Linked DNA regions of Mytilus edulis. The protein of the gene in region 1 purifies or fractionates together with the protein of each later gene. This does not show direct contact. Links are inferred from orthologs where the notes say so. Each region holds a gene or a part of one and is shown on either strand. Other genes may lie near its edges.

Region 1 (3,763 bases):
ATTTATTTAGCTGAAGATGAAACCCAATGACATATTGGCCTATATTAAAGGTTTTTTTTTAATTTGATAGTTGGTCTACAGTGATCTCTAGACTGTGAATATTGATATTGTGTATCTACTTGAATCTTAATTGTCTATCAACCGAGTGCCAATCCACATCAACAAAAAGAGTTAATAATCCTATCACATTAAAAGCAAAATCTTGATCCAATTGAAAACCATTAAATGCAATAACTATACATTGAGATGAGTATGTTGAAATTCTGATCAAGTCATAGTGTACAACAATGTAGAAAGCAATGATTGATTCTAAACAATTTCTTAAAAGGGTTATATCAAAGGTAAAGCAAAGAGTAATTTAAGCTAATAGAAAGTGATATATTTACACCAAACATGTATTGGTTCACCGGTATGTAAATCATGTATCTCTTTTTATCAGACTTATAGCAAATGATCCTATTTTTGACAGGTTCATTTATTTAAGGACTTTTGTTCATTATGGCATACAAAAATCATACCTGTGAAGACTCTTGTTCTTCTAAAGCTAGGAATACACTGGCCCTCAGCTGTGCCTGAAAATAATTTTTAAGAAATTAAGCGTTGTTTTTTGGAAAAGTTTAATATGCCTCTCATCCATCATTGTCCATGTCATCATATCTATATTAATTTACATGTATTCAAAATCTTTTAAACTAAAATGATGTAAATTCAGCAGGTTGATACAAATCAGTGAATTATAAAGGTTTTTTTAATTTTCTATTTCAGTCAAAGAAAAGAATAGTGCTGTTGGCTAAGGCCAAATTAAACTGGAGATTCTAAAGAGCCTTTGTCAATCATCTGGATCTATGTGCACCATGATCTTAATCAATGTCAATGGCCACTCAGTGGCGGATCCAGGGGGGGGGGGGGGGGGGGTTCCGGGGGTGCACACCCCCCCTTTATTTTTGCCGATCAATGCATTTGTATCGGGACATATGTTTTGCACCCCCCCTATGCCCTCCAGGGCCTGGGTTAGCACCCCCCCTTTCGAAAATTCCTGCATCCGCCCCTGCCACTTTCCAACATATAAATGTAATAGACTAGAAAATAATTCATGGCCATAATATCATTCCTGTCGATCTTTTATAATTGTATAGTTACTGATCACTTTTGATGTTTACAGTTTTTCAATGTAGGTTTCCAAAATCCAAAGCATGTGACAATATTGGTTTAAGACAAGCACTGTTAAAAAAAACCCACTTATACAGGCTAATCAAGTGTTTTTTATGTTGTGTACTGTTGTTCATATAATTTTTCATAGGGGTGTATCTTCGAGTAGCATGTACTGGTCCAAGTTAAAGGAAAAACTTCCAACTTGTATACATAATTTTTATTTTTTTATTTTAAATAACATACATTCAATGTTTTCTAATAAATAATTTGTCTTTTGAGTAGACCTGTACAAGTAAGAAGACACCTTATTGCTATTCCCGGCTGACCAGAGAATCTGCACCGTTAGAACTAATGACGTCATACAAACAAACACTTTTCCATTGTGGCGTCAGATATTTTTTATTATGATGTCAAAATTTTCTGGGAACCTGTGAGATGTCCAGAAATGGCTAACAAATAGCGACAAGGTGTGTATTAAAAAATATAAATACCTGGGGAATTTTTTTGTTATCAATATTTTTGCAGACTATGTCTAACAACTTTAACTGAAAGGGATTTATTGTAATCCCCTTAAAATGCGATAATCACTGTGTCATGCATAGTACATGTATTTGCTTCTAATTTAAGGGGAGATAATTTGAACCAAAAGTTTATATTTTTTTTTTACAGATTTATAGTTTAACCAATTATGATAAATACAATATAAATCAAGATTTCGGACAAATACGACGTAAAATAAATATTTATGACGCTCATGCATTGCTAATATTTGTAAACATGTCACAAATATTTCTACATTCCGTGGTAACTTTGCCAACTTCTTGTCAGTACATGCATCATGGATGCAAAAGCGTCATCAGCAACGTCTTAAAATTCAAATAGAATGGCGTTATGAATATATGTGCGTCATGTTAGCTTAGCCACCAATAACTTTCAATATTTTGTATGGTTTTAAATACCCTGATTTTTCCTAAAACTCCATTTGTCTCTAAAGTTTGAGCTACAAGATCACGAAGCTCGGTGTCTTCGTCTGCCGACATGATTGTTTTGGGAAATAGGTATCTAGCGCATGAACGGAAGTCGGACAATATTTACTAAAACAATGTTTTATTAATGAAGCTTTAATAATAAAAAAAAATCTGCACTTCTAATATTTCTTTAAAAAAATATCTTTTGAACAGCTTTTCATTGGAAAAAACATATTTCCGTAGAACAGGTGCTTGTTTCGAAACACTCTAGACTTTCCATATGGATAGAGAAAAGTCTTGAAAATATACTTTCGGCTTGTTTTGTTGCTAGTGGCTACAACCAATGAAAATTATCTTTATTTTCTATCATCCAATCAAAACGAAACGGCAAAATGACATTTTATATTACCCGGAATTTTTAAAAAGCAGTTTCACAATACACGCATAGAGAAGAAAACAAGAATTGGCTATATTGTACCAGAAACCAATTGCAGTAAAGAAATCTTATTGAAACAGTATTAACGAAGATATCAGTATTCAGGTAAAATGAAATTCAGTATTTTTAAGGGATAATTTACGACAAAGAACCTACAAACTTTAACATCTTTATCATAATTTTAAAGTAGTGTCTGTTAAAATTTAATACTTTATCCTTTTTGATTTTGTTTGCCTATTATTATTACAATACAATTAATCGTTACATCTTAATTTAGATTTTAATGTCATTCAGCTCTGCTTTTGTCGTTTTGGATGCTGTGAGTGTGATTAGCAATTTTTTATGATGATGCCAATAATATAACTTCTACGGTGCAGTTTTTTTAGTTCAATATCTGTTATTTATTCATCTTTATTTTAAAAATTGATAATTTTAAATGCATATTACAGTAAACCAGTATTAATCGAGCTAATTTATTTACCCCCCCCCTTTTTGTTGAAAAATGAATTATGTGGACATATGGTTGGAATCCCCTTTTTTTATGACTTGCATGCAGGCTTTAGGTAAATGTTATCATAATCAGCTGTAATTGATTTCATTATTTCATGAAATCATTGTGATCAGTCAATTTTTTTAACGTTAATCAGTTACTTTTCACTTCCTGATTACTTTTTGATAACATTTTGATCAAAGACATGCAAGATTTCAACTGCAATTTGGTTACTGTGATGTTGTATGTAGAAATTTTTCATGTTTTTTTTAGCAACGATAATATTCAGGCTTATTTTAATTTTCTGACGTAAGTTGGACATAAATATTACAGAAAAATATATCTGGAAAAGTTTGCTTCACATGCATGACAATAAATATCAGTCTGCACCAAAAACTTTTTAAACTACTAGTCCGAAGACTAATATTCTAACATTTTTCTTATTGGGCCAAACAAAGTTTTGCAAAAACTTACTAGTCCGAACCAAATTTGACTAGTCTGGGGCATCGGACTAGTGGCTAACCGTGCAGACTGCTGACATGTATGCGATCTAAAATCAAATTAAAATCATAAAAACTTGCTTTCATGTTTCACTAATCAGAAAATGAAAATGACTCATGAAAATCTTTAGGATTTAAAAAATTTAGTTATATTGATATGTTGACATTGTTATTGTACATCTGAATCTAGATATATATTATAATTACAAGTGCTAAA
Region 2 (3,763 bases), on another chromosome or scaffold:
AAAATATCTACATAGGCGGATCCAGGGGGGCCTGGGCCCCCCTTTTGTGGGAAAAATTTGGTTGATGATATAGGGAATCACTGAAGCATGACTGGAGCGGGCCCCCCTTAGGTCAACCAGAGGGCCCCCCCTTATGAAAAGTTCTGGATCCGCAACTGATCTACAGGTGAATTATAACGTTTTTGAGTTCACAATTTACAAAGTGTTATTGTCCTTCAACCCAAAATAGATATATATGTAATATTTTCAAATAAAATCATTGACATTTCAGCTTAAGACGTTTATTGTTCAAGTTTTATCAAGTCCACCACTGACCACGCTTTCGCGTCGATCCGGCCCCACGTCGATCCGGCCCAAGTCGATCCGTCCCACGTCGATCCGGCCCCACGTCGATCCGGCCCAAATGTAAAGTCGATCCGGCCCCAATAAAAAAATATATTTATAAGGAATAAAAATAAAGATATATATTAAAGTAATTCATAAATGTTTATGATTTTTATTATAATGTTAAAGGTGTACGGTAAAAAAAAATTAAAAAAAATTCTTCAGATGAGTATAAAACAACTAGGTTGATTATGTTTTTATTACAAGTTTTCAAGATTATTGGGTATAATTATATTAAAACAATTCCTTTAAGTAAGTGACAGTGTAAAACTGTTAGTGTAAATGATTTATTAAAAGGTTATGTATATTTATGTGAGTGTCAGAGATAGTTAGTATGTATGATGTTATTGTTATATTTTAGTAGTGCTGATATTATATTTTAGAGTGTGAAAACGTGCATTCAGTGTCATTGTTTTGTTATTTTCTTGCAATAAAGAATAATGGATACTCATATAACTTGTGTTTTTTCTACACACAACTATTCAAAATACTGTCAAATTTATGAAAAATATATCGATATAGGAAGATGTGGTGTGATTGCCAATGAGAAAACTCTCCATCCAAATAACAGTTTATAAAAGTAAACCATTATAGGTTATTATTATATACACCAAACAAAATATCAATCTATAAAGACCTCGTTGATATTATGAAAAAAACAAACAAGTAAATAGAAGCCTGTGATGTTACCTGAAAAAAATACAATTTATAATTATTATATACACCAACCTTAACCAGAAGATCAATTAATCAGGATTTGATTTAATTAAGTGATTACAAGTGGCATCACCTTAGTTCACAATCATCAGACAATTGTTGAATAAACAAACCAATTATAGACTAATGATTTGATTAATCAAGTCATTATGATGAGTTAAATTTAATAGGTTCCAGTGGACTAAATATTTATTTAGATATTCTGTGTATGAAAAAAAAAAGAAAATGAAATCGCCATGAGTTAAAGTTAAAGTTATCATGGAAAATAACTTCATATTTTAAAATATGTTGAAGCTGCCATACAACCAACGACACAATAACAATCATTTTCGTATCGATTTAAAATAGTTCTTTAACTGGTACTCCAATACTTCACTTATCGTCGTGTCATATGTTTTCGTATGTCATATGTTTTCGTATCAACCACATTTCGTCGGTTTCGACTGCATACGCGTACATTGTGGCATGTTTTTCTGTTTCTATATTTAGAACAACAACACCACTACAACTTGATATATTTAAAACATATTCAACGTCGCTTTTTAAAGCCGTTAGAACAAATTAAATAAAACTGACCTATTTAGCCATTTTTATTTAATGTCAAAAATACGCATCACTAGAATAGTTGTGGAAAAAAATTCTGAAGGATTAAAATAAAGTCCAGATATGTTTTTTGCAAGTCAGACACCGGATCTTCAAGACATATGACTGTCATGTGTTTTTTTGGCCGTTTTAATTATAAACCATCGAGTTAAAATTAGCAGGGTTCTTATATAAAATGGTTGTTCAAAATCCAACTATTCAATATTTCATTGACAATTTTTTTTTATACATCCTTGATACATGAAGATGAAAACAGTCTTAACTTTTTATATTTAATCATAAATTTTGAAAACTGCATTTTATTTTAGAAAAAATAATGTATTTTGTACAAACCAGGTGCCAATCTGAAAATTAATCAAAATCTAAAAATTTCATTACACGAAACACCAACCTTACACTATTTACTAGTAATTTTTAGTACTGAAAAGTATTTAATAACTTTTTTTATGATTCAAGCGATCACCAGAACCACGACTTTAGAAAAAATTTATTTCCGGATTTTGTAGTCATTTCCTGTCCGTGTACTGATCCAATTTTTATTTCATACGAAAACATATGACGCCGTTTTTTTTGACATACAAAAATCGCAAAGTAATCGGAAACAGTAAAAAATCGTAGAAATCATTGACAAAAAAACTAGATACCTAAAATCAATCTACAGGACATGCTTTTTAAATCTGAGTAAACACCTAAATAAAAACTCAACAGTAAAAACCGTAAGCAGTGAAAATTGTTATTAGTACGAAAACACATTACACGATGATAATACCTGTTGTCATCCATCATTGGACACTTTTTGCAAATTCCATTTATACTGTGTCACAAATTCCTCCAAGATCAATATATTTATTTCTTATTTTATTATGGGGCCGGATCGACTTGGGGCCGGATCGACGTGGGCCGGATCGACTTGGGCCGGATCGACTTTGGGCCGGATTGACTTGGGGCCGGATCGGTTTGGGGCCGGAACGACCGGATACCACTGACCACCGGTGTGTTTTCTTGCAAATATCTCACTTTTATTTCTTTCAACATATTTTTTTAAAATGTTGCACCACTCCATGCTTTTCCTTTTATTTGTTGGTGTTTTGGTCATGTTTTATCAGCAATACATGGATGCATGGGGCGAAATACCAACAAATTGTTCATAATATCTCCAAACATGTTCCATCTTCCCTCTCCATTTTCATAACAGATGAGCTGATTGGCTGTTCTGTCTCATGCGACACCTTTATTGAAAAGGGGAATAATTCATTTCTTGTCTCGACATGCAAACTATTTAAAGTTTATAATTGATTTAAACTTGTATTAACCTGAACTTTTCAATAATAAGTGTTCTTTTTAGGAAAAGAATATGTATATAATAATAAAAATTATGTTGAAAGTGCCTGTCTGTTATTTACAGAATACCATGATTATTGTTGTAATTAATAAATATTAAATAATTTAATCTCCACAAAAAATACTGTATTATTTTAAAATCATTTCTAATTTTGGACATAGATGTGGTACACATCCACAGATAATACCGCAATTGAAACATTATAAGATAACTTATATAGTTTATGAGATATCTTATATAGTTTATGAAATATCTCGTTATATAGTTTATAAGATATTGTAGCAGACAGTGTTATTAGTTTATTTTTAGCTCCCTTTGGTAAAACTCTAAATTTCATATTTTATGTATTTCATTGTTAATTAATTTACATGAAGCTTATTAAGGATATATTTGTTGAATAACATAGCTTTTGCTATTTTAATTCATTGGTTAAACATATTTATTTATATTGTAAAGTTTAATATTTGCATCGTTGCAAATTTCTTTGGGTACCTTCTTTGGAAAACTTATATATTTTATATAAATAATTTGAAATCAATTTTGTTAAATCCTCATTCATTCAATCACATCAGTCACGTCTCAGTCATTACAGCTGAACGGACGTGCTGGGCCAGCTCTCCTTTACCCGCTATCTTCGATGAGGGTTTACAGTTAGATATCAACGACTTACTACTTAAGATGACAGAAACCAATCCATGCCGTACAGATAGACGTAGT
Region 3 (3,763 bases), on another chromosome or scaffold:
AGAATACAATCTGCTGCAAGAACCTAGGACCACTTCCAAGCTTAAAAAAAATAATTAAAAAATAAATATGAAACTGTACAGAAATTTTATAAAATAGTTGAATGCATGGAAGGAGATAATCTGTACAAAGAGGGATAACTCCAATTGTTTAATTTACTTTGTATCACTTTTTCCTGTCTATTTAAATAAAAAAAATCCTTTGGGGTTTAATTAAAGAATCAATATACATTGTATATACTGTTATCAAATCAAAATCTTTTGTGTGTCTTGATGGAGAAAAATGAACTCTTAAATATATTTTTAAGGGTCTATAGATCTATCAAAGCTCAACAAGGAAAACAAGGAAATCCCCATATATTTTCCCGCCTTATAAATAATAAATAGGAAATTCAAACCTGGAAATTGAAATCAAACATAAATAAATATATTTTCAATAAGTACATATGTACATGTATTTACACCAAATTTTGTTTGACCCTAACCAGTGACAAATAAAAAAAAACAAAAAAACACTGGAACAATGCACTTTATTCAATTATTGGAAAATTTTAATTGGATATAAATAGAAGTTTGATAAAACACTAATTTTGATCATTGAGAAACTTAATGTTTCCTTCCTTTAACAATACAATGCATACATTTGTACATGTATGTGATTAAAATGTTATTTTTACAGAATTATCTCCCTGTACGTGTTATGCACCACCATAATGTACTTGCACAGCATATTGGTAATCTGGACCTTCAGATTATCCTTATATAACAGTTTTACATTTCAAATCCACCAACTTGGTTTCTATTATGTACATTTGTACATTTAGGATCCTTTATTAAAATAAGATTTGTTTCTCATTTAATATAAGTGTCATTGATGTGAAACAATTTCCCGCCCTTTAAAGTAGACAATAATCTCTTTCTTCTCTGGTCATATCTGTCTTCTTTGTTTTTCGTAAATTGTTTTATTATAAAGGAAGCCAGTAGTTTCTCAATTGAACTGTTTCATATTTTTCATGTTGTTGCCTTACTAACTACATGTACAATGTACATGGAATGAGTTTTTCTCATTGTTGCAGGCTTCACATGTTTGGTTCCCTATATAATTGCTTACATCCACTTTATTTGAACTGGGGTGGACAGTTGTCTCATTTGCAATCATGCCACATCTCCTTATTTCTATATTATAACCTACATTATCAGGGCCTATTATAGCTGACTGTGCGGTGTGGGCTTTGCTCATTGTTGAAGGCCGTACGGTGACCTGTAGTTGTTGATGTCTGTGTCATTATGGTCTTTTGTGGATAGCTGTCTCATTGGCAATCATACCACATCTTCTTTTTTATATTACCATTAAAAAAGTTCTGTGTGGCTATGAATGCATGATAATATGAAATGAAAGTCACACTCCATGGCAACACTTGCTGTGAAAAGAATGACGAAATCCACCATTGAATCTATATTATCAAGGATAATGTAAAGGTCAGGACTATTCATTGCTATCACAATAAAATGTAGGACAGAAGTGGGTTTTTCAGAATGTTTAAGGTTGGGCTAAGAGTAAAAGAAAAAACACTGCCACAATCACAATTGGAAAAATTAAAGTTTTCTACCAAAATTACCGGTTATTTTTATGACCGTCACTTCACACGTAAGCTCAGTCCCAGACATATCTCAATTACAAAGTTTCAGTACCATTAAATCAAAATAGCTGTGAGAAAAAAGTGTTATAAACAATCTGTTCTTTAATACATGTACATGTCCTTTTTTAATTATCTGGTTTTCGTTGCAATACACATTTTTTTTAAATTTTTGAGGCATAAACACAACTAATAAATGTCTGATAGAACAGAATGTGGAACAGAGCATTGTCAATCTTGTTGTTACCATTTCGCTTTAAGGGGGGTTACCAAAATTAATATCAAATTAACACAATATTTATATGATTATCTTAGTAGACTTACAAATGCATTTGAAACTTTGTGATACATAAAAGCTGTGTTTTCCGTTATTTACCGGTCAAGATAATCTACAAAATCATTTCAAACATAATGTTGCCGAGTTAGCTAAATGCAAAACATCTCATAATATTTTTGTTGGGCCTTCGTTACACAGTAACCTGCAAATGTTTCTGTTTTATGTACACTTACTTATGAAAGTTATAATATGAAAATATTAGAAATTATTGTGTTGTCTATTATAAATGTCTGTTCTTTCTGATTGCATGTTTTTCTGTCATCCCTTCGCAATGTAAACACTGGCTAAGCAAACATGCCTCGACGTACTCCAAAATTCGCCGCCATTTTGTAACATTTATTGGATGACGGGTAAACTGGTACCTACTGGTTTCCACAATAATTCTCTGTTTATTCGCTTTGCTCAAGACAGCTAATATTTATCAAAGACGTGGTTACACTATTTTAAAAACAGTTCTTAGATCTATCATAACTGAGGGGGAGGACAGGGGGTACCCTTCTCCCTTCTCCCACCCCTCTTCTCCTTTCTCCTACCCCTCTTCTCCTTATTTTATTTTTTTAATTTACCGGAAAAAAGAGATATTTTATTTTTTCATATTTAATTTTTTTTCTCCAACTTTTTCTCCTTTCTCCCAGCCTTCCTCTCCTTTCTCCTACCCCCTTTCTGCTTCCGAAACTGAAATAAGCAGTACTTCGGCATGAACACCCAGTGATCACGAATCCAATATACTTGTTGGCCGCAGCCGGGACTCGATCGCGGCCGGTTTATCATGAGCACTTTCAAATTTTGTAAAATTATGGTCAATGTTTTTCAAGTCTTTTTTTCGTACTTCCTGTCTATTAATAATACTGTCTATTAATAATACATTATCAACGCTTTTCGCGGGCATCTATATATTTTTTTTCTTTCTAACTATCCATATCGATCATTCGTTTTTCAGTAATCAAAATCATTTACTAGTCCCTGGATCTGCCAACCTAGTCCATGTGGGCACAGACACTTGAGATTCATTGTTTCTATCCATGGATAGGCCAACTATATATGATTAGTCGACCTTCTCATAAAGATATATATGGATAATCGACCTCAGTTCCGGTGGATAGAAACAAGTGCATATGTCATAGCTATAGGTGCTTGACGGGACAGGACAATTTTATGCTTTTCCCCCTTTTTCCATAATCCGTTATTTTTTCCGTTTTTTCTTACATTCAATTATTTTCTCGTTTTTCTATATAATAAGAAAATTTATATACTTAAAATAACATTTATTTGCTAATTACTCCCAACAATGCAAACTTTATTGATAGTAAATAGCAAATATTATACCAGTTTATATTTGTACAGTGTGTAGTATATACATTATGATACAGAAAAACGCGGAAAATAATTGAAATCAGAGACATATAAATACATGTCTCTGTTGAAATTAATAGAAAACGAAAAAATAACGGTTTTACAAAAAAAAAGGGGAGGGCAAAACAAATTTTTGTCCTGGCCCCAAGTTGTTGCAGGTAAAACCAGAAGAGCTCTTTGGACGCAACTTAATTTATAACTCGAATGTTATTATCATTTTTATTTGAAAAAAATAAATTATCGAGTTACCTCCCGTATACCAACAAGCACTGGCGATCAATTCTATATTATTATATAAATGTCATGATGCCAATCAAGGGTCCTTAATTGGAAAAATAAGTATTCTTATTCTTAATGAATGCCACTGGAGGTTAATATAAAAAAAAAAAAAAAAGAAGATGTGGTATGATTGCAAATTAGACAACTTTTCCATAAGAGA

What was found.
Region 2: the proteins of centrosomal protein 43-like (region 1) and serine/threonine-protein phosphatase 2A regulatory subunit B'' subunit gamma-like purify together in Homo sapiens (affinity purification with mass spectrometry; 3 studies listed by BioGRID and IntAct, counting the BioPlex papers as one, with this or other methods). This does not show direct contact. The link is inferred for Mytilus edulis from reciprocal best matches to the Homo sapiens genes CEP43 and PPP2R3C.
Region 3: the proteins of centrosomal protein 43-like (region 1) and centrosome-associated protein 350-like purify together in Homo sapiens (affinity purification with mass spectrometry; 6 studies listed by BioGRID and IntAct, counting the BioPlex papers as one, with this or other methods). This does not show direct contact. The link is inferred for Mytilus edulis from reciprocal best matches to the Homo sapiens genes CEP43 and CEP350.

The regions. Positions count from the first base shown.
Region 1 is NC_092353.1:13,363,950-13,367,712, reverse strand, and holds the start of centrosomal protein 43-like, read right to left. Parts: upstream 2,269-3,763; 5' UTR 2,193-2,268; coding exon 2,112-2,192; intron 573-2,111; coding exon 519-572; intron 1-518. UniProt on the Homo sapiens protein: Required for anchoring microtubules to the centrosomes. Required for ciliation.
Region 2 is NC_092346.1:60,300,459-60,304,221, reverse strand, and holds the start of serine/threonine-protein phosphatase 2A regulatory subunit B'' subunit gamma-like, read right to left. Parts: upstream 2,913-3,763; 5' UTR 2,801-2,912; coding exon 2,722-2,800; intron 1-2,721. UniProt on the Homo sapiens protein: May regulate MCM3AP phosphorylation through phosphatase recruitment. May act as a negative regulator of ABCB1 expression and function through the dephosphorylation of ABCB1 by TFPI2/PPP2R3C complex.
Region 3 is NC_092345.1:30,840,249-30,844,011, forward strand, and holds the start of centrosome-associated protein 350-like, read right to left. Parts: upstream 2,329-3,763; 5' UTR 2,145-2,328; intron 1-2,144. UniProt on the Homo sapiens protein: Plays an essential role in centriole growth by stabilizing a procentriolar seed composed of at least, SASS6 and CPAP. Required for anchoring microtubules to the centrosomes and for the integrity of the microtubule network.